Linked DNA regions of Drosophila melanogaster. The protein of the gene in region 1 purifies or fractionates together with the protein of each later gene. This does not show direct contact. Each region holds a gene or a part of one and is shown in the gene's direction. Other genes may lie near its edges. The genes, in order: sesB, idc and Cyp4ac1.

Region 1 (10,170 bases):
AACCCTAACCTGCACACATCATTTTTTCAATTTTTGAACGGCGAGCAAACTATATAGAAACCACTTTACACATAATATACTAAAGCTTAAAACAAAAAAAAACATAAAATTAAAGATGAAAACTTACAAAAAAATACCACTATTTTTACATTAATTATTTTTAAATTTATCCTTATCTTTACCTAAATTAGTTTAGAGCTTTTTTTTGCGTCGTCTACATTTTACTGTTAAGTTCATTTAATCTACACATAATCTACATGAGGATGATGTGACGACACCAGATGTATCTACACTGTACATTGTATCTACATTACAGAGCTAAAATATCTATAAATATTATAAATATAACAAAAAAAGAGTAAAATATTATTAAAAACACAAAAAAAAAAACAAAAATAATTCGTTCCTTGGTTGTTTTTATTTTCGTTGTAGTTCAGTATTTTTGATTTTCAGTAACTGGTTTTCCTCTCTCCTTTCCAAATCGGCTTCGATTCCGAAATCCTATAATCCCGATCGTTTCGAGAGGCTTTCGATGTTGTCCCTGTACCCAGACATACATATATTAATGATCCGTAACCCCCTATTCAAACAGTTGTCTAAATTATTAATTTAATGTGAATTTGAGAAGAGCTAAAGTCGTCAGATAAATTCAAATAGCGTGTGAGTACATACATAGATGTATACCTAACTAACAACACCGATCATATATATGGAGTACACTAAACTAACATAACCTAACGTAAACTAAAATAAAGAATAAATGAATGAATTAACTACCTCAGCTTTGAATATTTCTATAGAAATGTTATTAAATGTATTTGAAAAGCGTAAGAGATATACAAATGCAAGATGCCGCCAGATCGAAAGATAGTTAATAAAAAGAAAGACAGATGGAACAGAACAATGTCAAAGAATACAAGTTTTAGAGCTGCATTTATATAGTATCAGATCGATAAGGAACATAGTAACAAAATCGTAAAACAAAACCAAAAAAAATATATTAAGTGTACGTTTTGCATATTCCTATATAGTTAACTAAACGTAAAAGCAAGATGGGTAAACATGAATACTACTATAACAATCATTTTGCGTCCATTTTTGTTGTTTCCTATACAAGAAAAAATTAAATAAAAACAAAAACAAACCACAAAAAAAAAAAATAAACAAAAAAAAAGCGAACGAATAAATCACACAAATAGGATGAAAACAAAACTATATTCCCAATTACATTGTATAACTGTCTTTTAACCACAAGCAAAACGCTAACACAATCGGTACACGATAACCAATATACTATACATATATCAAATATCCACTCTGTGTATGTTTTGTATCTGCCATGGAATATGTACCCGAAAGTAATCTAGATAACCACGTAAAGGACATAGGACTCGATGTCTAGATGTGTCGTCATAGTTTAGAGGCCCCAGTATTTACTAGCCAGTACTTTGCATTTGTTTGCCTTTATCTTTTACCTTTACCATTGCCTTTAAATTAACCCCTCTGTCCAACCAACGAAATTCAAAAGAAAGGGTTCTTCATTTGATTACCATACCCCTCAGCACGCCCAAAACTCCTAGTATTCTGGCCTGTCCCAGGGTGCTGATTCAAAAACTAGAGATATACATAGGTGTATACATAACATACTAATCTGCGTAAGATGTTTTCCCCATTTCGGTGTAACTAAATGTTAATATTGCTAGCGCTCAATACGAAATTACCGTATACAAGACCCACATACAGCAAATAAAAAGACACAAAAGCTTACTAAATTGTATCCCAAGGCCAAGGAAAATATTAGAAAACCAGATATACAACTAACTCAAATACAATTTTGTGAACATGTGAAAAACAAATCGAAAAGAAATTTACTCAATAAATGATTTTTCGTATATAAGAAGTGCATTTTGAATCAAGTTTTGCGATTATCCTTTTCAACAACGTTTTAAAATTAAGAATATGATATTTTCGAAAAACATTTTTCAGAATAACTTGGCCAAAAAAGGTGGCTCAGCTAAAACGATGACTGTTTTGTGTTGCTTATTAACATTGCTAACAATCTGTAACACTTTCAAACCGAGTTTCAGGAATAATTTTTTTGACCAATTTAAGCAATTTTTCATTAGGGGTACCATCATCAAAATTCGACAAATTACCGATTTTCTCATTTTCGATAACCAAATTTGCAAAAAATGGCCAAAAATTAAAGTTGCCAGACTTAAATACAGTTCGATGAGGAATTTGGAACGATTTCAACGAGGTATGAGATATTCCAATTTTGGACAAACCTTTGATTTAATATAAAAAGAAAACTTTTGTTTTTGTAAAAAAAAGAGCAATTAAAAAACCGCGTTAAATGCAATACATTCAAACTAGTTTTTATCATAGTTTGGCAAAAGGAGGTCGTACAGGTCGTTGTTAATTTCCCAAAGAAGCGTGCAGATTAATTGTAATGAATCCATTATTAAAACATAAAATAGTCTTTAACTTTTGTGTAATTCAGAACTCGCAATAATATAATATATAATATAAAATAATATAACATAATGGGAAAGTCGATGTAAAAATATTTTTAAGGTATTAAAAAATATCGATATTGATGCTTCAATCCCCGCTTGCCTTAATTTTATAATAAAACGTAATATACTGGTTTTAATTACATCAAAAATAGCCATATTTATTTATACTAGCAAAAGTTACCGACAAAAATATCACGAATAAAAACCGAAATCTAGCTGAATATCGATAGATCGCCGAATAAATACCAGTTAAAGCAACTATCGATATGCGGTATTTTTGCAGCTTTCATCCCCAAGTCACTGGGCCCTCGAGACCCCCACCACTTTACGAATTTCATTCGCCAAGTGAGCACGCGGCTTCGTCTGATTCTGCAAAAGAAGTTTTTATTCTGTGACTTTTGTGAGAAGTTATCAACTGAAGGTATTGTGCTATTTTCTATATCTATTACATTTGCGAGGCTCTTTTGCTTAACAAGAAAAGAGACGGTGTGCCCCGTACCTGCCATTGATTTTTTTTTACCCATTAATTCACGTCACCTTGCGCTAGATTCTGTAGTTATGTAATGTGCTAATTTTTTTATTGTGTCGGTGTTGGTTTAAACTAACGTTTTTTTTTGTATGTTCGACAAGCAGTTCCGGTTTAACTGCATCGAAAAGAAATCCCGAAATGGGACTTGAAAATACCCGAAAAGTGCTTACATAACCCTTGCGAAAAATAATTGTGCCGAAATTGTGTTTGCCATCAATTAAACACGTAATAAATTGGGCGTATTAGCAAACTTTTCGGTATTTTATACCCCCAATCCAAAGTTCATTTAGAATACCCAGAAAGAAAATGGAAGAAGCCACGCTGGATCTTTTTCCCATCTATTTCCTTCCAATTTGCAACCACGCTGGAACTGCCAACTTATGCAATAGCAACGAGTTGGCAGGCCGGCTCGTCTGTACGAAAAAATGTTGCACATGAATTGCGATTATATTTCAAAGAGAATTGCACTTCTCTAGAATCAAATTGGCCTGCATTTGCACAAATATATTATTATATACACCAAATGCAGGCTATTCTATAGTAAAACGCGTGGCAATTGATTGTTCTACCGCCCAGTCGCACATGAGTGTGTATGAACACACAGTTGCGAATAAATTCCATGTGCCACTAACGCCCTCTCGCTCACTCCCATGCCAGACACCAGCTGCGCGTGCAAGTACTTATCGGGTGTGTGTGTGTGAAGAAGAGAGAGAGAGTTGGTTTTATTTCTTAAGAGTAATGTAACTATTTCTCTTTGGTTGCCTCCCTTTCTTTTCTGACCTGCTTTCTTTTATTAAAGATAAAAATTCATGCGAAAAAAACGGGTTTCCCCAGTGTTCTCATTTCTTCTATTATTATTCCATTCCCATACCCCTTAAACCCTTTCTGACGTCAATCGTTAATGTACGTATAGTATTCATGTGATTTATTGTTTATTGTAGCCCTTTGTGTGGCCTTTTAGTGCGATTTTGCACTTGGTTGAGATTAGTGTTTATTATTACATATCCCTGGCGAATCACATTTCCAATTCTCGCCCAGTCGGCGGAAATTTTCAGTGTGATTTTCAAGCCGATCCACGCCCTGTCCTAAAACCCCGATTCATCGCACACTGAGCCATAAAAATTATAACTTCGCTGCCGTTTAATTTTGGCAATTAAGCATTTTTGCAGTAACTTTGCAACTGCATTTTTTACGCTCTCTTTTTTGATGGGCAACTAGCTCTCTTTTATTTTTTATGTAATTTTTGTGATAACGGGACCTTGAAAAAGTGTCGTAGACAGTTATATAAATTAACTGTATTAGCAGAAGTGTTTATCTAATCGCTTCACGCATTTTTTTTCGAGCGCCGCCCCTCTTCCGCCTGCGTGAAAGAGACGAAGCGTGAGAGAGAGGGAGAGAGCGGCAGGTGGACGTCAGAAAGCAAAGTCACATGCTAGCAGTGCTGCCAACCCTATCTTTAGAAATAAAGCCAAATGTTATTAATAGCTTAGCAATTAAATAGCTACAAACAATTAATAAAACCTTTCAACTCTTTTCAACTTTTATTTTTATAAAAATTGATAATAGTTTTGGTTTTTGTATTTGAATAAATTGTTCACTGCTGTATATTGAAGTTTTCTAAGCCAGTCCAAGTAGTTCTTAAAACTGAATATCAAAGATACCCCAATTTTGTTGAATAAGGAAGACATGTATTTGGGTGTAATAGAAGTACACTATTCAATCTTCTAGAAATCTAGCTAACAACTAGCTAAACGGGACTATCCGTCTGCTTCGCAGCTGACTTGTCGGCTATTTGCCAAATGTAAATGTTGTGCGTACATTCATTTTGGCAAGCGTTTAGAAAGCGCCGTCGAAAACCTCGAAAGGGGTAAATGAAAAACAATTGGCCATATATGCATTTTTGGTCATGGCCAAAACGAAACAAAAAGTGTTTTCTAATGAGTACAAGTGTGTGGTACAATACTTCCTCTTATGCAACGAATGGCGACATTGAATTCTTGAATTCTCAGCACTGATAAGCGGCGATCTCTCGCCCTCTCTCGCTCGCACACGTGCTGTTGCCAACCGCTAGTTTTTTTTCGGCTCTCTCCGAATTTCGCATACTCTGCATATGCATATAGAGAGAGAACGCTCTCCCCCTCTCTCGCTCACGCTCATCTGTTGCTGAACTTGACGATGGCGGCGACTGCGACGCCGACGTAGGCAGAGCAGGCTAGCTGGCAGATTTCGGCGAAAGGAACTTTCACAAGCAATTCAGTTGCCGTCCGGTTCAGACTTCTGACTTCCGAGGAATAAGGATAAATTTTTTTCGGTTTTGTGCTGTGATATAGAAACACAAATACAAATTGTACGTATGGCAAACAAATTGGATATCAATTATCGAATCGAATTGAGCCATAGCCCATTTAACAAAATACGCGTGTGGTTCCTAATGCTTTTATTATTATTTTTTTTTTTTAAATCAAATCCAACCTGAGCATTGAAAGAAAATCTGCCTGGTTATGTAAAACAACAAAAGAGTTGAACTTGAATCATTCATTGAACAATTTTTTTTCTGGTGTGTGGTGGTGGTCTTATGCAATCAATAACAATGAATTAAGAATAAACTTAACACTGGATTGTGGATACTACTACGACTGCTCAGCCTTCGGTGGAAGCTTTCCACGTGCAACTGTAGAATTTTTCCAGCTGAGGCTATTACATCACGAGCCTTTTAGCTCTCGGCTCTCTGTGGCTGTGGCCGAAGAAAAAGCTTCACTCTCTTTCCAGCCAATCAAAAGTCTAACACGATTAGATAACGGTTGTTATTTCAAAGAAAGAGAACAGAAGAGAAACGAAACAATGGCAAAGCACAGTTCTCTTTGCCAAGTGTGTTACATAAAACCCTTGTCAATGAAATGCTGATTTAATTTCGCTAAAATATAATTTAAACCACACGGCTAACGCAGAGCGGCGGCTGCTCTTGAAAGTCTAAAATTAACAAAACGCGCTTCAATGGCGAATGCCAACTGCCAAAAAAAAAAACCGTGGCCTCTATAGCCATCTTGCTCACACCCACTCAAATGCCCATATATATTGGCTTTTTCCATTGAACTTTTTCAATTCAATTCTTTTCTTTTTTTTTGTGTGGTGTGGCAATTATGCAATCCCCCAATCTTTACTCAATGAAAACCAGTAGACTGCCGCTCTATCCAACTAGAACTGCAATTGATTTATGTCATATTCTCTAGATAACATAAATTAGATAAGCACTTATGTATTTATGTATGCCACGTAATGCCATGTATTTTACTTAGTTTTCAAAGCTAACTGGTTAGAACTTAATTTTCCAACAGTACTTATTTTATATCGATTTAAACCACCACGTGGCAACCAGCCGGCCAATAAAACTTTTCACCTTTTTTGCACAAAACCAGTTTTACCGGCAACTGCCAACACGCATACTAACACAAACAACAAATAATTGTAACCAAAACGCTGATGTTTCCATAAACCATTCAATATTAACCCCCTTTAGCATTAAGTTTAAGTTGCCATTTATACTAACTGTGCATGTTTTTATTTGTTTCATTTGTCGCTAAAACCTTTTTACTTCACCCGCAAAAATGTTTTGTAACCATTTGTAGTGCTGTTCAAAAAAAAAAGTGCATGTTTTTCGGTTTCGGTTTATAACTGTTCAAAAAAATAAAAAAAAAGTGCATGTTTTTCGGTTTCGGTTTATAATTTAATACATTGAAAATTTTCACATTTTCATTTGGCTTTGGGCTATTCTTCTATTGTGCCTTTTTTTGCACCCGTGTAAACAAAGTGAATCGTACATCCACTATACAAAAATACCGTAAACGTATATCGTAACCATTATGCAACGCACCATCACCCGCATGCCATGGGGAATATATCAGCATCCATAACATCACAAAGGTATATCATCATCGGTATCACCAAGTATCACCATCAGCGATGACGGAACTGTCGAGATTAATCAGAGTTTTGGCCAATTGCACGATGTGTTTACAGCAAAATGGGCAAGGATTTCGATGCTGTTGGATTCGTCAAGGATTTCGCTGCCGGAGGCATCTCCGCAGCTGTCTCCAAGACTGCCGTCGCCCCCATTGAGCGTGTGAAACTGCTCCTGCAGGTTCAGCACATCTCGAAACAAATCAGCCCCGACAAGCAGTACAAGGGCATGGTTGATTGCTTTATCCGCATTCCAAAGGAGCAGGGATTCTCGTCCTTCTGGCGCGGCAACTTGGCCAACGTCATCAGATACTTCCCAACCCAGGCTCTGAACTTTGCCTTCAAGGACAAGTACAAGCAGGTGAGACTTTGCAGTCTGCATGTTAGCAATGCGAGCGGAAAACACTAACGCCCCGGTTGCTATTATGTGTGTAACTTAGGTCTTCCTGGGTGGCGTGGACAAGAACACCCAGTTCTGGCGCTACTTCGCCGGCAACTTGGCCTCCGGTGGTGCCGCTGGTGCTACCTCTCTGTGCTTTGTCTACCCCTTGGACTTTGCCCGTACTCGGTATGTTGGTATATTTGCGAAAAACAAAAAAAAAATGTCCAATAAACTAACGTAATGCTTTCGCTACGAATTTACAGCTTGGCTGCTGATACTGGCAAGGGTGGTCAGCGTGAATTCACCGGTCTGGGCAACTGCTTGACCAAGATCTTCAAGAGCGACGGCATCGTTGGATTGTACCGTGGTTTCGGAGTGTCCGTGCAGGGCATCATCATCTACCGTGCCGCCTACTTCGGCTTCTACGATACCGCTCGCGGTATGCTGCCCGACCCCAAGAACACACCCATCTACATCAGCTGGGCCATCGCCCAGGTTGTGACAACCGTCGCTGGCATCGTGTCCTATCCCTTCGATACCGTGCGTCGTCGCATGATGATGCAGTCTGGTCGCAAGGCCACCGAGGTCATCTACAAGAACACACTGCACTGCTGGGCCACCATCGCCAAGCAGGAGGGCACCGGTGCCTTCTTCAAGGGCGCCTTCTCCAACATTCTCAGAGGAACTGGTGGCGCTTTCGTGCTTGTGTTGTACGATGAGATCAAGAAGGTCTTGTAAATTAAATTATTAAATTATTCAAAACAAGCAAAATACAACAACATACAACAACAAAACAAAACAAAAGAAGTAAAACTAAACACTACCAGCTAATTATGTTAGATAACTGAATGAGAAAAGCTAAAACAACAGCAATAGCAACAGCAAAGGCATAAGCTAAGTTTGATCTGCAACCAACACCTCTTACCACGAACAACGGCAAGCAATAACAGCAAGAACCCTTCCTTCCTCACCCCGATATAATTATGAAATTATATTATTTATAAAAACTGGGAACTAATTTACGGAACGATGGCCAGCGTCAATAGAACAACAATACTACAGCAAACAGCAATGCTCGGGGCAGAGAGAGGATGCGACTCAGCACATGAGACTAGACCCACTACACTGAAAGACGAACGAACATAGCGACGATATCGATTAGTATTGTTAAGTTTGGGTTAGGCTATATACTATAGATCCAGTCATGTTGCTGGGTCGTCCCACATCTCCCCAGCCAAATCAGTGTTATCGATCGGATGCAAAGAATCGAACCGAAGACCTGTAGATTCTTTCGCCTCCGAAACGACAAACCAACAAACAAACTCAACTTCGGTTGGTTTAAAAATATATAAAAATTGATAAAAATAGTACAATGTTGTGTTTTTCTTTCTGCGCACGTACATATGTATGTATGTATATCGATCTTTCATATTTCGACTTGAACCCAATTATTGCAATGAAAGTACATATGTATTTGTAATTCAAAAATTATATTAGCATACTTACACAGACCATTTGTGCAGTCAACCAATTGGTCGTCTCAATTTAATCTTCGGCAGTTCGAAGCTAAATTATTATAATTATTTTCTGTTGTTAAAAGAGGAAAAAAACGTACGCTCATCGCTTCTAAAATTGTTGGTCAAAGTAGGCCACGATAAATACATCGAATGTCATTTCGACCGACTGGCACACAACCTCGTTAGCCAATCTCAGTTCAGATCTCAACGTTGTAACATCAAAATTAAAAATTGTAAAAAGTGAAAGTCCGTTTTTATCCTTTTTTACCAACCAACTTTGAAGCTAAACTAAATCGTTTTAAAATCATTAAACAGTAAACTAACATGGGCGATGAAGGCGGTGGCGGTGGTCATGGCAAGGGAGACCTTAAGTCTTTCCTCATGGACTTCATGATGGGCGGCGTTTCAGCTGCCATAGCCAAAACGGCAGTGGCTCCTATCGAGCGCGTGAAGCTCATTCTGCAGGTGCAGGAGGTTTCCAAGCAGATCGCGGCAGATCAGCGCTACAAGGGCATAGTCGATTGCTTCATTCGCATTCCCAAGGAGCAGGGCTTCTCGTCGTTCTGGCGCGGCAACTTGGCCAACGTAATCCGATACTTCCCAACTCAAGCCCTTAACTTTGCCTTCAAGGATGTGTACAAATCGGTTAGTTGTTTGGACAATCCTTATAATAATCATTTCACATACGCCTATAACATATAAAACATAAAACATACTACAGGTATTCCTCGGGGGCGTGGACAAGCACAAGCAGTTCTGGCGCCACTTTGCAGGAAACTTGGCCTCTGGCGGTGCAGCAGGTGCCACATCTCTGTGCTTCGTTTATCCACTGGACTTTGCCAGAACCCGGTAAGTTGATTCATTATATACACATTCAATTGGTTTTTTCATTTATACACATATACATTAAAAATTGATAATTTTGAGTAATTGAGGAAAACAATTCGAACCTTTACATACTTACTATAGTCGTTCAAAATAATCGATGTCCAAATGAGATTATACATTAAGACGCTTTTTCTACAACTGCATTATTCACCCACATGAACTGTTTTCCCCATTTGATTTGAATTTGATTTACTTTCATTGGATTCGATTTTGTTATTAACTATTTATTACTATTCCAATTCAATCTTCCGCCGACAGTTTGGCCGCCGATGTGGGCAAGGGCGGCAATCGGGAGTTCAACGGCCTGATCGATTGTCTAATGAAGGTGATCAAGAGTGACGGACCCATCGGTCTGTACCGTGGATTCATCGTGTCGGT
Region 2 (7,086 bases), on another chromosome or scaffold:
TCCAGAGGAATCTGTCTATTCACTTAGTCCCAAACCGGTAACTTTTGAAGACGAGGACTCCGGACAGGCTGCTTCCTTTACCTGCAACATTTGCAACAATGTCTACTCAGAGCGCGTAAAGTTGACCAACCACATGAAAGTCCACAGCGCGAAGAAACCACACGAATGCGAGTAAGATTTTGATTTGAATTTGTTCCCATCGTATCCTATAATCGCATAATCCCATTATCTTGTAGAATCTGTCACAAACGTTTTCGCCAGACTCCGCAGTTGGCGAGGCACATGAACACCCACACCGGTAATCGTCCCTACAAATGTGACTATTGCGACTCCAGGTTCGCCGATCCCTCCACTCGCATTAAGCATCAGAGGTAGGTAAAAACATATAGGGCTGTCATAACTAGAATAAAAGAGATATATTTCTGTTAATCAGCTTTAATGTCAATTAATTGTTAACAAGTCTTGATAAAAGTTACTTCAAATCTAAATCTTAAGACATCCACGGAAGTTTCTAACGTTAAATACACTTTAGGATCCACACCAACGAACGACCGTACAAATGCGAGTTCTGCAGCAGGTCCTTTGGCTACTCCAACGTCCTCCGGGTTCATCTGAAAACCCATACCGGTGAACGACCATTTAGCTGCCAGTACTGCCAGAAGTCCTTCTCCCAGCTGCACCACAAAAACAGCCACGAAAAGTCACACAAAAGGACGAAAGAGGTGAAATGATTGCAGTGACTAAGAGGAAACATTGAGGTGCAAATTAAATAAGTTTCTCGTTGAAAATTGTACAATATATTAATGGATAAGTTCTAAGCCATAGGGCACCGCCATTAAAATTTGTCATTTTTCCTTATTTAATTTTTTATAAGAAGTAAAAAACAAATTGTACAAAAAAATATATCCTGTGTACATTTATTTGCTTAATGGAAGAACTTAAACAACGGCTTACTAAATACTTAGACTAAACTTTGCATAAGAACTAAAAAGAACATGTCACTCTTTGGGGAGTTCATTGAGAAACTCCGGCGTTTCCCCCTTGACATCTTCTGCTTTGGTGCTCTCTTCTGCGTCATTTCTCCAGGTGATACGTCTATTATGCGTTTCCCGATGCAAACGCAATTTGTAGGCCTTCACAAATCCTTTGCCACAAAGATCACAGCTGAAAGAGAATAGCTATTATTGCAGGATAATGAAGTAGTAAAATATGTTGATGCTTACACATGCGGCTTCTCCCCCGTGTGAATCATCTTGTGGAACTTCAGGTTGTCCGAGTAGGTAAACGTTCTGGAGCAAACGTCGCACACGTAGGGACGCTCCTTAGTGTGAATTCTGGAGAGAAATAATGTCAGTTTAATTTACTTTCAACTGTTTCGAATATTTCTCACCTATGATGTTTGGTTTTCGTGGATCGATCGGCGAAGGCAGCTGGACAGTAGTTGCACTTGTATGGTCGGTTCCCCGTGTGAGTGTTCATGTGCCGTACCAGCTGTTGATTCTGCACAAAGCCTCTTCCGCAGATCCTATAATAACATCCTATTAGCCATAGTTACTATTTACTTTCAACTTTTAAACCTACTCGCACTCGTGTGGTTTAACACCAGAATGGAATTTCATGTGCTCGGTGAGACGCGCCTGAGTCGGATAGATATTTCCGCACACATCGCAGATGTATGTGCTCAGCTTGTTGCGCGGCTTTCTGCCCACCTTCTTTTTGAAGGTTTCCACTTTTGGGCTATTCTTGTGGTATGCAACTGGCTTCCTGCCCGATCGGTCGCATTTTTCCGGCTTAGCATGAGTTGGGTCATAATCTTCGTCAGAGTCGAGTATGTCTTCAGCAATTTCTTCTTCGGGCGGCTCCTCTGTGGCAACATCTGTGCCGGTGGAGCCTTTTTCCTGTGCGATTTCCGGCGAGTTTTCGTTGGTGAGCAGTTCGTATTCCTCGTATTCAGCATAGGTTTCAGCCTCCTCGATCTCATTTGGCACCGGCTGCGTGGGATCGTGCACATCGAACATATTGGTATCATCAGTATCACCATCCTCCACGACATAGGTGATAACCTGATGTTGCTGATCCTCCTCGCCCTCCACTTTCATGCCGCCATCCAGCTGACTGGCGTAGTCCTCCCACGACTTCAGTACGCTCTCCACCGAAAGGTCCTCCGCGATGCTAAGCAAATCCCCTTCGCCGGCGGCGTTAGCATTGCTGGCCTCCCGGTCCAGCATGTCCATAATGTGCTGATGGGATCGCTGGCATGTCAGACGGAACTTGTAGCAGAGCCGCAGGCAGCGCACGCACTTGCTGCACATCTTGTCCGGGAAGTTGTCATCTAGGCTGACCTGTTTGGGTTGGAATAATTTAAAATGGGCAAACCAAGCAGGATTCACACTTACTGGAATGCCTGCGCAAATGTGCAGCATTTGGTCCAGTCGCGTGCTTGCCGTTTCGCTGAATATGTCGTGGAGCAGCTCCTCGCCCTCGCTGGGATTGTTCAGGCAAACGCGGCACACCACCCACTTCTCGTTGGACTCAGTTTTCATGGCTAATTCGATAAAACAATCACTTCGGTTGTTGCAGAAGATTCAAACAGCTGAATTTAAGCGTCCACGGCCACTGGCCATTCACAGCGAAACGCGCCCGCCAAAGTTGATACGGTGAATGCACGTTATGAACGACTACATGGAGCGTACAGGGTACATAGCTGTATGTGCACTTTTTACCAAACAAATGTTTTAAATAATTTTTTTTTGGTAGAAAATAATATAAAAATGCGCGTCATTTTATTAATTTTATTTTCAATTTACAAATATTGAAGGAAAATGGTTTTAAGTTCGTTTATATAATAAAAAGGAAAAGCACTATTCTATCAAAGTAGTTTTGTTTCAGTACAGTAATGACCACACTGTCTTATGGAACGATGGAACTTTACATGAGCTTGACATATAATATTGTATTAAACTGCTTAATCAAGCTTTTATATATTTAAATTGTAAAACACTTGAATTCCAATTTTACTGATTTATTTAACTGCCCACAAAATGCATTCGTATTCTTAATTATATATTTAATATTTGAAGTAGCGAATGGAATACCCTTAGCGTCGACTGTGGTCACCCTGTGTGGCGACATTCGCATTGCAACGCGTGCACTTCGCTCCAGACTACAATCTATTTTTTTGGCGTCGTCTTCGTCCAGCGAGCGTGTTATTATAAATATTATAGCGGAGGGTAAGTAGCCTCCTGGAAGAGATCCATCTCCTATTCGCGACAATGAGAGACTCGGCAGCACATGCGAGTCCGGCGGCAGCGGCAACGAGCACGCAGAAGTGGATCGTTTGCCGGGTTTGCCTGCAGCAGCCCAAGGAGCCCATGGCCAGCATTTTCAACGACGATTCGGAAAAGGATCTGACCCACATGATTCGCGAGTGCGGCGGAGTGCCCGTAAGTTTGTCCCATTGGACCCCGAACCATATAACAATGCAATTTCCTTGGCAGATCAAACAGTTCGATCACTATCCGGACAAGATATGCGAGAAGTGCTTCAAGGTGCTGAAAATGGCATTTAAGTTTCGAGAGACCTGCCAAAGATCGTACGGCCATCTGCGCCAGTTCGTTGGACCCGTAGAGGTGGAGCAGCGACCACCGGAGAAAAAGGGCTCAGAGACAGCCACCAAGCTGGAGCCGGATGTCGATCCCGATGAGGCGGAGCAGGAGCCAGAGCATGACGAGGAAGACGAGGATGTGGACCTGGACGAGAGCCACTATGCCGAGGCGGACGATGCCGCCGAAACGCAGGGTGGTGTCTTCCATGACGAGATTGAGGATGGTATCCTCGTTGAGCTGGAAAAGGATCGGATTGTGCACGTGAAGAACGAGCAGGTGGAGGAGGACGGCATAATCGAGGAGGTTTATGACGTGTATGAGACGTACGAGGGCGACCTCATCCCAGATCAGGGCTATGACCACGAGATGGCCGATCAAGCCCTGTCCGAGTTATCTGCCGAAATCGAATACCTGGACCAGGTCGAGCATGATCAGTTGACCGAAAGTGCCCACGAGGATGATGCGGAAGTCGATCTGAACTCAACCGAAGAGGAGTTCGTTCCCTCAAAAAGCGTTCGCGCGTCCATCCATGCGCGGAATGCCACCAAGCGGAGAGTGAATCCCCGCAGGTCAGCTACATCGACGGCCTCGGTGGCTGTAGAATCGAGTACCTCCAAGACAACTGACCGCGGCAATCCACTTAAGGTACGGCGGGGTAACAGTGATTCGGCTGGCAGCAAAATGAGCATCAAATCCGAGAAGGACATCTCGATTGGCGAGGTGCTGGCGCGCAAGCATTCCGGCATTAAAACCAAAGGCGGCCACAAGATCCTTCTTGGCGACAAGAAGGAGTTCAAGTACATCTGCGATGTCTGCGGCAACATGTATCCCTCCCAGAGTCGCCTTACCGAGCACATCAAGGTCCACTCCGGCGTGAAGCCGCACGAGTGCGAGTAAGTAACTTCACAGTTTTTACTGCGTGTTCACTATGTTCTTTGGAGTGTTATTACGATTTTAGCTCATATATCCGTCTAATTCGGGTATAATGATTGTGTGGAAGTAATTAATCATTTTCAATAAGCCTTCATTAACTTAAAATCTCATTTTTCAGGATCTGTGGTCATTGCTTCGCCCAGGCTCAGCAGCTGGCACGCCACATGAACACCCACACCGGAAATCGGCCGTACAAATGCAGCTATTGCCCGGCAGCCTTCGCCGACTTGTCCACGCGTAACAAGCACCACAGGTAAGTTGGTGAGCTCCAATCCAAACCCGATTTGATTGAATAATTACCCGTTTGCAGAATCCACACCAACGAGCGACCCTACGAGTGCGATGTTTGCCACAAGACATTCACTTACACCAACACCTTGAAGTTCCACAAAATGATTCATACGGGAGAGAAGCCGCACGTGTAAGTTTCGCTTTCCCCCTGGCGGTTACAGTCCGTATTCTCTAGCACGAACTTTCACTGTTTCACAGATTGTTTATGCATACACTAGCTTCAGAACCAGATTGAGTTTTTTTTTTGATATAGAGAGATGGAAATCGTTTATAAAAATATACTTTTTATTCTATAAGAATGTACAATTCACAGTGGAAACTATTTTGAAAGAGCCATGCTGTTTCAAAAGATTATTGTTTACGAATATTACGTAGTATATTAATATTTTGAGTTTAGTTGATTGTTTATTAGGTGCCTGAGGCGTAAATAACATTAGATAAACAGGGAATGAAGTATTAGTGTTTAAATATTATAAGTTATAAGGAAGACATAAATTAATCAAGGATTCTAATCAATTTAAAACACGTTTGCTCTCTCTCTTTAGCTGCGATGTGTGCGGCAAGGGATTCCCGCAGGCGTACAAACTGCGTAACCACCGGGTCATCCACGAGAGGCGCGGCCAGTCCGCACGGGAATCCGTAGCCGGGCTGGTGTCCTACGACACGGCCAACATCGTTGGCCTGGATATGTAAATTTCGAGCGAGGACTCCACGTCGTCCCAAAGCGACACTTTACACTTTAAGCAGAAACACGCGTGTAATTACACATCTAATTATATTGATGAAATTTAAGCCTAGCCTAATTATGCGGAAATAAATTAAGAATAGCCGCGCATATGGTCTTGGCGTCGGTCTCCTCCGGATAGAGCTGCAGTACGGCATGCACCTGGTGCGGTGGGAAAAGGCTGCCCAGGTGATAGCGCAGCAATCGGCGCTGCTCCTCCCGCGGAAGCTGCTGCGAGGCGTGCAGCTCCTCGTTGATGCGCGAATCGGAGGCAGACAGATGGGCGAAGTTGTGAGCGGGCAGTGGCAGACCCAGTCCCTGATCCGTGACCGGGGCGGATGGCGTGCGCGTCAGATACTGGTGGTGATAGTTGGTGCTGGAGTTGGACTGTTGATGCTGCTGCTGTGCCTGGTGTTGTTGTTGCTGGAGGGGAGCACTGTAGGTGGGCACCAGCAGGCGGTAGGCGGGCGGCGGTTGTTGGCGCTGCAGCTTCTTGTGGCGATTGGGCTGGCTGGATTCCACGGCACCCTCTGAAAGATCCATTTGAGCGGAGAAGCCCTGACATACCTGCTCGATGGTATTTGACTTGGTGCGCCCCAGCGGCTCCCGGCTAATCAGTGAGTTGATCTTAACATTGTTATTATTGCCACCCGGACTGACCAACTGTTGGCCACCGTTCGTGTGCAGGGGCGCGCTGTGGGAGGCCTGCAGCGGGAGGCGCTGCAGCAGTGGCGCCTGATTGTGATGCCGGAACTTGCACTTCTGGCCGTAGGTGCACTTCTTGCCGTACGGACACAACTGCTGCGCATCCGCCATTTTCTGCTGCGTCTGCGAGCACAGGAAGAGGTCCAGATTTGGACCCGATCTGCCCAGCGGATCGTCGGGTGGCATGAAGATGTCATTTACAAAAGAGTACATCAACAGGCGCTCCTGCACCACGCGCCTAAACTCGTTACTCTCCAGGATCAGATCCCTGTAGTTGTCGTTGGAGACTACAATGCCGTCAGTTTCCACTGCCAGCTTGAGTATGAAGCGATCATCGTAGCAGGACACACGCTTGCCATCCAGATGTCGCGATGGCGTGAACACCAGGTATCTTTCGTGCTCCAGCTCGTAGAGCAGCTCCTGGTCGGCTATGTTGTTGTTCGCCATCTCCTTGCGCCAGTTGGGCACGAAAGCGGTGATGTCGCGATGGCCACGCTGCCGGAACCAGTCCACACAGATGCGAATGCCGCGGCAAGAGAATACTAGATTGTTGCCGTGAGAAAGGGCGACATTACTGCCATCGATTACGATGTGTCTCAAGCCAGAGCTGTTGCTACCGCCGGTCGGGGAGGACAGAGTGCTGGTCATGCTGGATGGACTGCCGCCTCCGCCTATGTGGGCGGGCCGCGGTGCATCGGCCGTCAGCTTGATCAGCTCCGCCAGCAGCTCGTTCTGCTTGGCTTCCGAGCCGAGGCGCGTCAGCGCCGAATGGATGGACTGTTCGCTGTAGCCTAGCTTTTTGGCGAACTCCAGGTTCTGGCGCTCCGT
Region 3 (6,513 bases), on another chromosome or scaffold:
GCCCGTTGACCGAAAAACGAGACTGGCAAATTTGCATAAAAATCAGTGGAGTATATTGCCTGGATTCCCCCGCCTCCTTCAGGTGACATTAACAAGCCACAAAAAAGGAAGCAGCAGCCACTGTGATACGACCAAATTTTAATTAAAAGTTTAGTGGAGCGAGAGACACACGCCAACGACAACGCGAAAACACACAGCAGCAACATCAACACCAAAAGCAACCCAAGAACAACCCAGCACAGTGGGTTCAAACTACAATATTGTGTCATATTTTAACAAAATATGTTTTTACAGAGGGTATTTAAAAACATAGTTTTGTGCACTAAGGTCATTGAATAAAGTGGATATTTTGAAGACCTCGTTTATGATTTGGTTTTACTTGGATAAACACTATGTTTGTACCCCATTGTACATCGACCGCAAGAACAACATCGGGAAGCTGAGATCTTTGGGGCACAGCGACCGCAAAAGGTTGCTGGGGCAGAATGCCGTGCAACAAGTGTCAGGCCGTGCAACATGGCTAACAAGCGTCGCCTGTTCGTCGCCGGCAACGTTCGCTGTCAGCGCATACACGCCAAAAACGAAATAAAAAAAAAAAACAAAAAAAAGGAAATAGCACAGGAAAAAAGATACATACAGAGGACGAGGTGTTAAAGTAAATATGCAAGCGCTTACAACAAATTTTACATGCCGCTGCAATAATTGAAAAATCATGTTGCTGCACAGCAAATGTTGCGGCGACCGCGCAACATGTTGCTACATGACTTTGTGCTTAGCCAGAAAATGCAGCGAGTAAGGTCAGCACTAAAAACATGAATATTTTGGCTAAAAAGATGCCGGAAAATGATGGAAAATTTGTGTACTAAAGCGCGAAGAATGCGGCTGAAAGGTGTGGTTTTTATTTTTTAAAAATTCAGACAAATAAGGTTGATAACCCACCAAGATATACAACGTAGAATACGATTTCAATTGAAGCGCCTGCTTAAGTTTTAATGATATTAGCAGTGCCTTATAAGCAACTTTGGTGCAGGTGCCTGAGGGTTCCTTAGCTCCCGAGCAGCTCAGAATTTGTTATCTTAGCAATTCCCCCAAGCGGCTTGCGGATGTGCATCGCCATTGAAGGGATAGCTGCTCTGCTTTGGCTCAGATTTTTGCTTTGCGAATTGCGCTGAGAGAATCGCAAAACCACGCTGCGAATCACGTACATAAATAAATAAATACGCAGGCGTATGACCGTATGTTTGTGTACTCATGCCGCAACGGAAGCTGCAACAGTAGCGGCAGCAACATTCAGCGCAGCAGCGGTTGAAACAACAAACAAACTAACAAACAAACATTCAAGCCGCCACCGCAATGGTTGTTGTTCACTGTTGGTTTTTGGTTTTTGTGGCCAATGCCGCCGCTGCAATTGCCACTGATCGCGTCGATTCAATTAGTAATTCTAAAAAGGCGGCAAGCGACGTCTTTTGCATCTTAATGAGCAGCAACAGCAGCAGCAGCAGCAGCAGCGGCAGTTGATGTTGCTCCTGTGGCAGCAGCAACACATGCAGCATGTTGCCGCCGCAATAACATTTGTTCATAACAACAAGAAACGGAGAGACAGGGCCAGTTTTTCCATCCAATTGTGCCGGCACAGCACTTTTCATGCCCAAATGCAGTTTGTGATTGCTGCTGTGACCGTTGCTGATCGCAACTGCTGCAGTTGCTGCTGCAACTCCTGCTGCATTGACTATTTTTGTCATCCAGGTCCACGCACTGGTCGTGCAGCATGTTTGCGCGTTCATCTCCGGCTCCGGCCATTTCCACAGAAAATGTAATTACTGTGATTTAATTTTTTTCCACATTTACTTCTATTGCAGCAAAGGCTGCAATTGGCCAGATTGCAACGGCAGCAACTGCAACTGTGGCATTGCCATTTCTGCGCGCGCATTACAAACTTGGCTCAAATTAATTCCTCAAGCCCAAATGCGATCTGGCCAAGCTGCAGCTAATCAAACTTTAATCAATGCGGCATTTTGATGCGACATTGCTAGTTTTTCTCTTTTTTTCTGCAGCCAGTTCCATAGTTGGAACGATGGGAAAATATGCCGCTTGGCCTGGGAGGAAATTTGCCAAGAAATTGTTATTAATCTGGAATGGTCATATGGGCAAACAAAAAAAAAAAACGATCGTAAGCCAGTTTGAACTATTTCAAATGCTTCGCTAACAATTTCAATATCTGTCAAGTGCTTCAATTAATTATTATGCCTTTTGATAGTAGGCAGCTGTTGAATGGAGAATACCATAATTTTTTTATTTTAATCTCATTACCTTAACATTTCCTATGTATACTTATAGGCACTAATAATTAGCCAGCTCTACTGCCAACAAAAATAAAACCATATCGCTTTGAAATCAATAGCATGACATTATAGCTTATATGCATTAAAAAGCAATTAGTTCAATTTCTGACAGTCTAAAAGCTTTGCGTGCTGGAATAAATAATTTTTACTTTTAAATGAGTTAACCAATTATTTGGTTTTAGACTGTTTTTGTTGACACAACCGAACGCTTTAGTATTCACCATTAAGCGATTAAATTAAGCTTCAAGATAATCATAAAAATATGACTGACCATTTAAAGCCGGCCATAGCATCAGTGATATAATACTTAAAATGTTGGAATGCTTCAAAATGGAGTCATCATTATAGACAATCCAAAATTAAAAAATTGCAAAGTCGAGTATAAAAAAGAATAGAACTCAACAGCACTCAACCACAATAATTGATATAATCCAACCATATAATTGGCTTCCTGATAACAGAAAGCTGTTTTGAGATTGTTATTGTTTTAAACAGTATAGTACATACAATTGATTATGATTACAGAGGCTTGATGATATGCCAAAGCTTAGTGTGTAGTGAAATTGCCTGCAGAACGGACCGATCGGAGAATTTTGCGACAAAATGTGGATCGCTCTGCTGGGGATCCCGATTTTGTTGGCGGTCCTAACGCTTCTTCTAAAACACATTAACAAAACCTACTTTATACTTTCATTAACGAAGCGTGTGCGAACCGAGGATGGCAGTCCATTGGAAAGCAAAGTGGCCATAATGCCGGGAAAAACGCGATTTGGCAACAACTTGGATATCTTGAACTTTACGCCGGGTTCGTTTTGTTACTCAATGCGATTATAGGTTTATAACTACTTTTCAAGTTTTATTACAGCTAGTGTTTTTAATTTTGTGCGCGAGTCCACGGCCAAGGCCAAGGGTCAGAATTATCTGTGGTATTTTCTATATGCACCCATGTATAATGTGGTTCGACCCGAGGAAGCTGAGGAGGTATTCCAGAGCACCAAGCTGATAACGAAGAACGTGGTTTACGAACTGATTAGACCATTTCTGGGAGACGGACTCCTGATAAGCACGGGTGATTCAATCAATTTGTACTGCATTATTATAATTACTAATTAATCAATGATTTCAAGATCACAAATGGCATTCCAGACGAAAGGCTTTAACGCCCGCCTTTCACTTCAATGTCCTGCAGTCATTCCTGGGTATTTTCAAGTAAGTTTGAACTATTAATTAACTATTGAATTCGCTCAAATATAAGTTTATTTTAGGGAAGAGTGCAAGAAGTTCCTTAACGTTTTAGAGAAAAATTTAGATGCAGAACTGGAGCTTAACCAGGTTATTCCGCCATTTACTTTGAATAATATATGCGGTGAGCTGAATGAAGTGATAATATTTAAGAACATTTAAACTAAACCATACCCTTTATAGAAACTGCTCTGGGTGTGAAGCTGGATGACATGTCGGAGGGCAACGAATATAGAAAGGCCATCCATGCCATCGAGGAAGTTCTAATTCAACGCGTGTGCAATCCGCTGATGTACTACAACTGGTATTTCTTCGTTTACGGAGACTATAGAAAGCATTTGCAGAATCTTCGAATAGTTCACGACTTCTCCAGTCGCATTATCGAACGAAAAAGGCAGCAATTCCAGCAGAAACAACTTGGAGAAGTCGATGAATTTGGCAGGAAGCAGCGATACGCCATGTTGGATACCCTGTTAGCAGCCGAAGCAGATGGTCAGATCGATCATCAGGGTATCTGCGATGAGGTCAATACCTTTATGTTCGAGGGTTACGATACTACGTCCACCTGTCTAATATTTACCCTATTGATGCTGGCTCTCCACGAGGATGTCCAGAAGAAGTGCTATGAGGAGGTGGAAAATCTTCCCGAGGACAGCGATGACATCAGTATGTTTCAGTTCAACAAACTAGTCTACTTGGAATGTGTGATAAAGGAATCGCTGAGAATGTTTCCATCAGTGCCATTTATTGGGCGCCAATGCGTGGAGGAGACTGTGGTGAATGGAATGGTGATGCCAAAGGACACCCAGATCAGCATCCACATATACGACATAATGAGAGATCCGCGACATTTCCCGAAACCAGATCTGTTCCAGCCAGACAGATTTCTACCGGAGAACACAGTGAATCGTCATCCTTTTGCATATGTGCCTTTTAGTGCAGGCCAGAGGAATTGCATTGGTCAGAAGTTTGCCATTCTGGAGATGAAGGTGCTCCTGGCCGCTGTGATTAGGAACTTTAAACTCCTGCCCGCCACCCAGTTGGAGGATCTCACTTTTGAGAACGGAATCGTGCTGCGCACACAAGAGAATATCAAAGTGAAGCTATCGAAAAGGGTAAAATGAGGAATATTTCCTAGTGTAAGTTTATGGAAAACGGTTTGCCAAAGAGCTTTTATTTGTAATTTGTTTAGAGAAACAAATAAACCAGTAAAACGATTGAAACTCTAAAACGATTGATCGCTTGTCTTATTATCTGTCATGTAAAATATAACGATTTATGATTAAACGATGAAATGATTGAACTAAAGATATCCTAACATGTAATTAATTTAATTAACACGTTCATCACAATCGGTAACGTTTAAATAAATTGCTGGTTGCTTTTTTATGGAGAGGATACATTGTGATCAATTTGCATGTTTGTAATAGTGAAACTACCGACTACTTTATACAGCTTTATAGCTTTATATACAAATTAAAGCTTACGTAAAAAAAATCAAAAGCCAATATACATAAATATCGTAAATTTCAAAAAATTTTGTTACACAAGACTTTCTAAAAACAGTGCAGTATTTGCAATTTAATATACCCATCAATTGCATGCCGCAAGGGAACATGTTTTATACTAAGTACCTATTGATTTTACAGAACTCAATTGTTCCGATCACTGAGTTCTAATCAGTATTCGTCATTTATAGATCGGAGCTTAATCTGAGAGGTATTGGAACCTCTGACCGGAATATAATATAAACGTAGAAATGTTTTTGGAAGTCCTGTTCGCTGCTCCACTTGTGATTTTCATTTTTCGCAAGTTATGGGCTCATTTGAATAGGACCTATTTCATCCTGAGTCTTTGCAAACGAATTCGAACAGAAGACGGTAGTTTGTTGGAAAGTAAAATTTACGTAGCGCCGAGCAAAACCCGATTTGGAAACAACTTTGACCTCGTAAACTTTACATCTGGTAAGTGAAACCAAATTAACACTAAAACTATATTCAAATCGTTTGGAATATTTGACAGAAAGCATATTTAACTTCATGAGAGATGCATCTGCAAAAGCGAAAGGTCGAAACTATCTATGGTATTTTTTCCATGCACCCATGTATAATATTGTTCGGGCCGAGGAAGCCGAGGAGATATTGCAAAGTTCCAAGCTTATTACCAAAAATATGATCTACGAGCTTTTGAAACCGTTTTTGGGCGAAGGACTGCTGATTAGCACAGGTATTTTTACATTTTCATTCTTAATTCCTACTATTTTAAAGAGTTTTAAACCAATTTAGATCAGAAATGGCACTCTAGAAGAAAAGCCCTGACTCCTGCTTTTCACTTTAAGGTGCTGCAATCTTTTCTGATCATATTCAAGTAAGTTTACAAAATAGTTAATGGTTGTTAAGTTGTAAGCACTCTCGATTTTTAGAGAAGAGTGCAATAAACTTGTGAAAGTCCTGCATCAAAGTGTGAATATGGAGTTGGAGCTCAATCAGGTTATTCCTCAGTTTACGCTAAACAATGTTTGCGGTAAGTTCAAGTACATTAATAAAACAATAACGCCAGCTTTGAAATACATATGTATAACTTGAGAGCAGAATGACCAGCAAATATAGAAATAAATTTGCAATGTTTATTAGTAAATCACAACAATTTTCACTGGCCGTTTATTCAACTATGCAGAGAATTTTAGTGCGATTAATGTAATTGCAGAAACCGCACTGGGAGTAAAACTTGATGACTTGTCGGAGGGTATTCGATATCGCCAGTCGATTCACGCCATTGAAGAAGTTATGCAGCAGCGCTTATGCAATCCGTTCTTCTATAACATTGTGTATTTCTTTCTATTCGGCGACTATCGAAAGCAGGTGAATAATTTGAAGATAGCCCACGAGTTTTCCAGTAACATCATAGAGAAAAGGAGGAGCCTCTTCAA

Evidence for each region.
Region 2: the proteins of sesB (region 1) and idc purify together in Drosophila melanogaster (affinity purification with mass spectrometry, with the first as the bait; one large-scale study listed by BioGRID). This does not show direct contact.
Region 3: the proteins of sesB (region 1) and Cyp4ac1 purify together in Drosophila melanogaster (affinity purification with mass spectrometry, with the first as the bait; one large-scale study listed by BioGRID). This does not show direct contact.

Annotation. Positions count from the first base shown.
Region 1 is NC_004354.4:10,779,576-10,789,745, reverse strand, and holds sesB (stress-sensitive B), read left to right. Parts: upstream 1-2,838; 5' UTR 2,839-2,940; intron 2,941-5,287; exon of another isoform or gene 5,288-5,395; intron 5,396-6,856; 5' UTR 6,857-6,934; coding exon 6,935-6,969; intron 6,970-7,065; coding exon 7,066-7,366; intron 7,367-7,445; coding exon 7,446-7,573; intron 7,574-7,650; coding exon 7,651-8,125; 3' UTR 8,126-8,753; downstream 8,754-10,170. Other genes in the region: Ant2 (adenine nucleotide translocase 2), read left to right, coding at 9,229-9,549, 9,626-9,753, 10,051-10,170.
Region 2 is NT_033777.3:20,028,668-20,035,753, forward strand, and holds idc (identity crisis), read left to right. Parts: upstream 1-3,155; 5' UTR 3,156-3,272; coding exon 3,273-3,443; intron 3,444-3,497; coding exon 3,498-4,498; intron 4,499-4,656; coding exon 4,657-4,791; intron 4,792-4,848; coding exon 4,849-4,959; intron 4,960-5,213; exon of another isoform or gene 5,214-5,374; coding exon 5,375-5,522; 3' UTR 5,523-5,628; downstream 5,629-7,086. Other genes in the region: CG4854 (uncharacterized protein), read left to right, coding at 1-171, 237-371, 533-731; trem (trade embargo), read right to left, coding at 999-1,164, 1,224-1,334, 1,391-1,525, 1,582-2,342, 2,397-2,543; Regnase-1 (regnase 1), read right to left, coding at 5,629-7,086.
Region 3 is NT_033779.5:5,261,089-5,267,601, forward strand, and holds Cyp4ac1 (cytochrome P450 4ac1), read left to right. Parts: upstream 1-2,912; 5' UTR 2,913-2,945; coding exon 2,946-3,147; intron 3,148-3,207; coding exon 3,208-3,411; intron 3,412-3,469; coding exon 3,470-3,551; intron 3,552-3,607; coding exon 3,608-3,708; intron 3,709-3,767; coding exon 3,768-4,708; 3' UTR 4,709-4,811; downstream 4,812-6,513. Other genes in the region: Cyp4ac2 (cytochrome P450 4ac2), read left to right, coding at 5,344-5,548, 5,607-5,810, 5,870-5,951, 6,007-6,107, 6,291-6,513. UniProt on the Drosophila melanogaster protein: May be involved in the metabolism of insect hormones and in the breakdown of synthetic insecticides.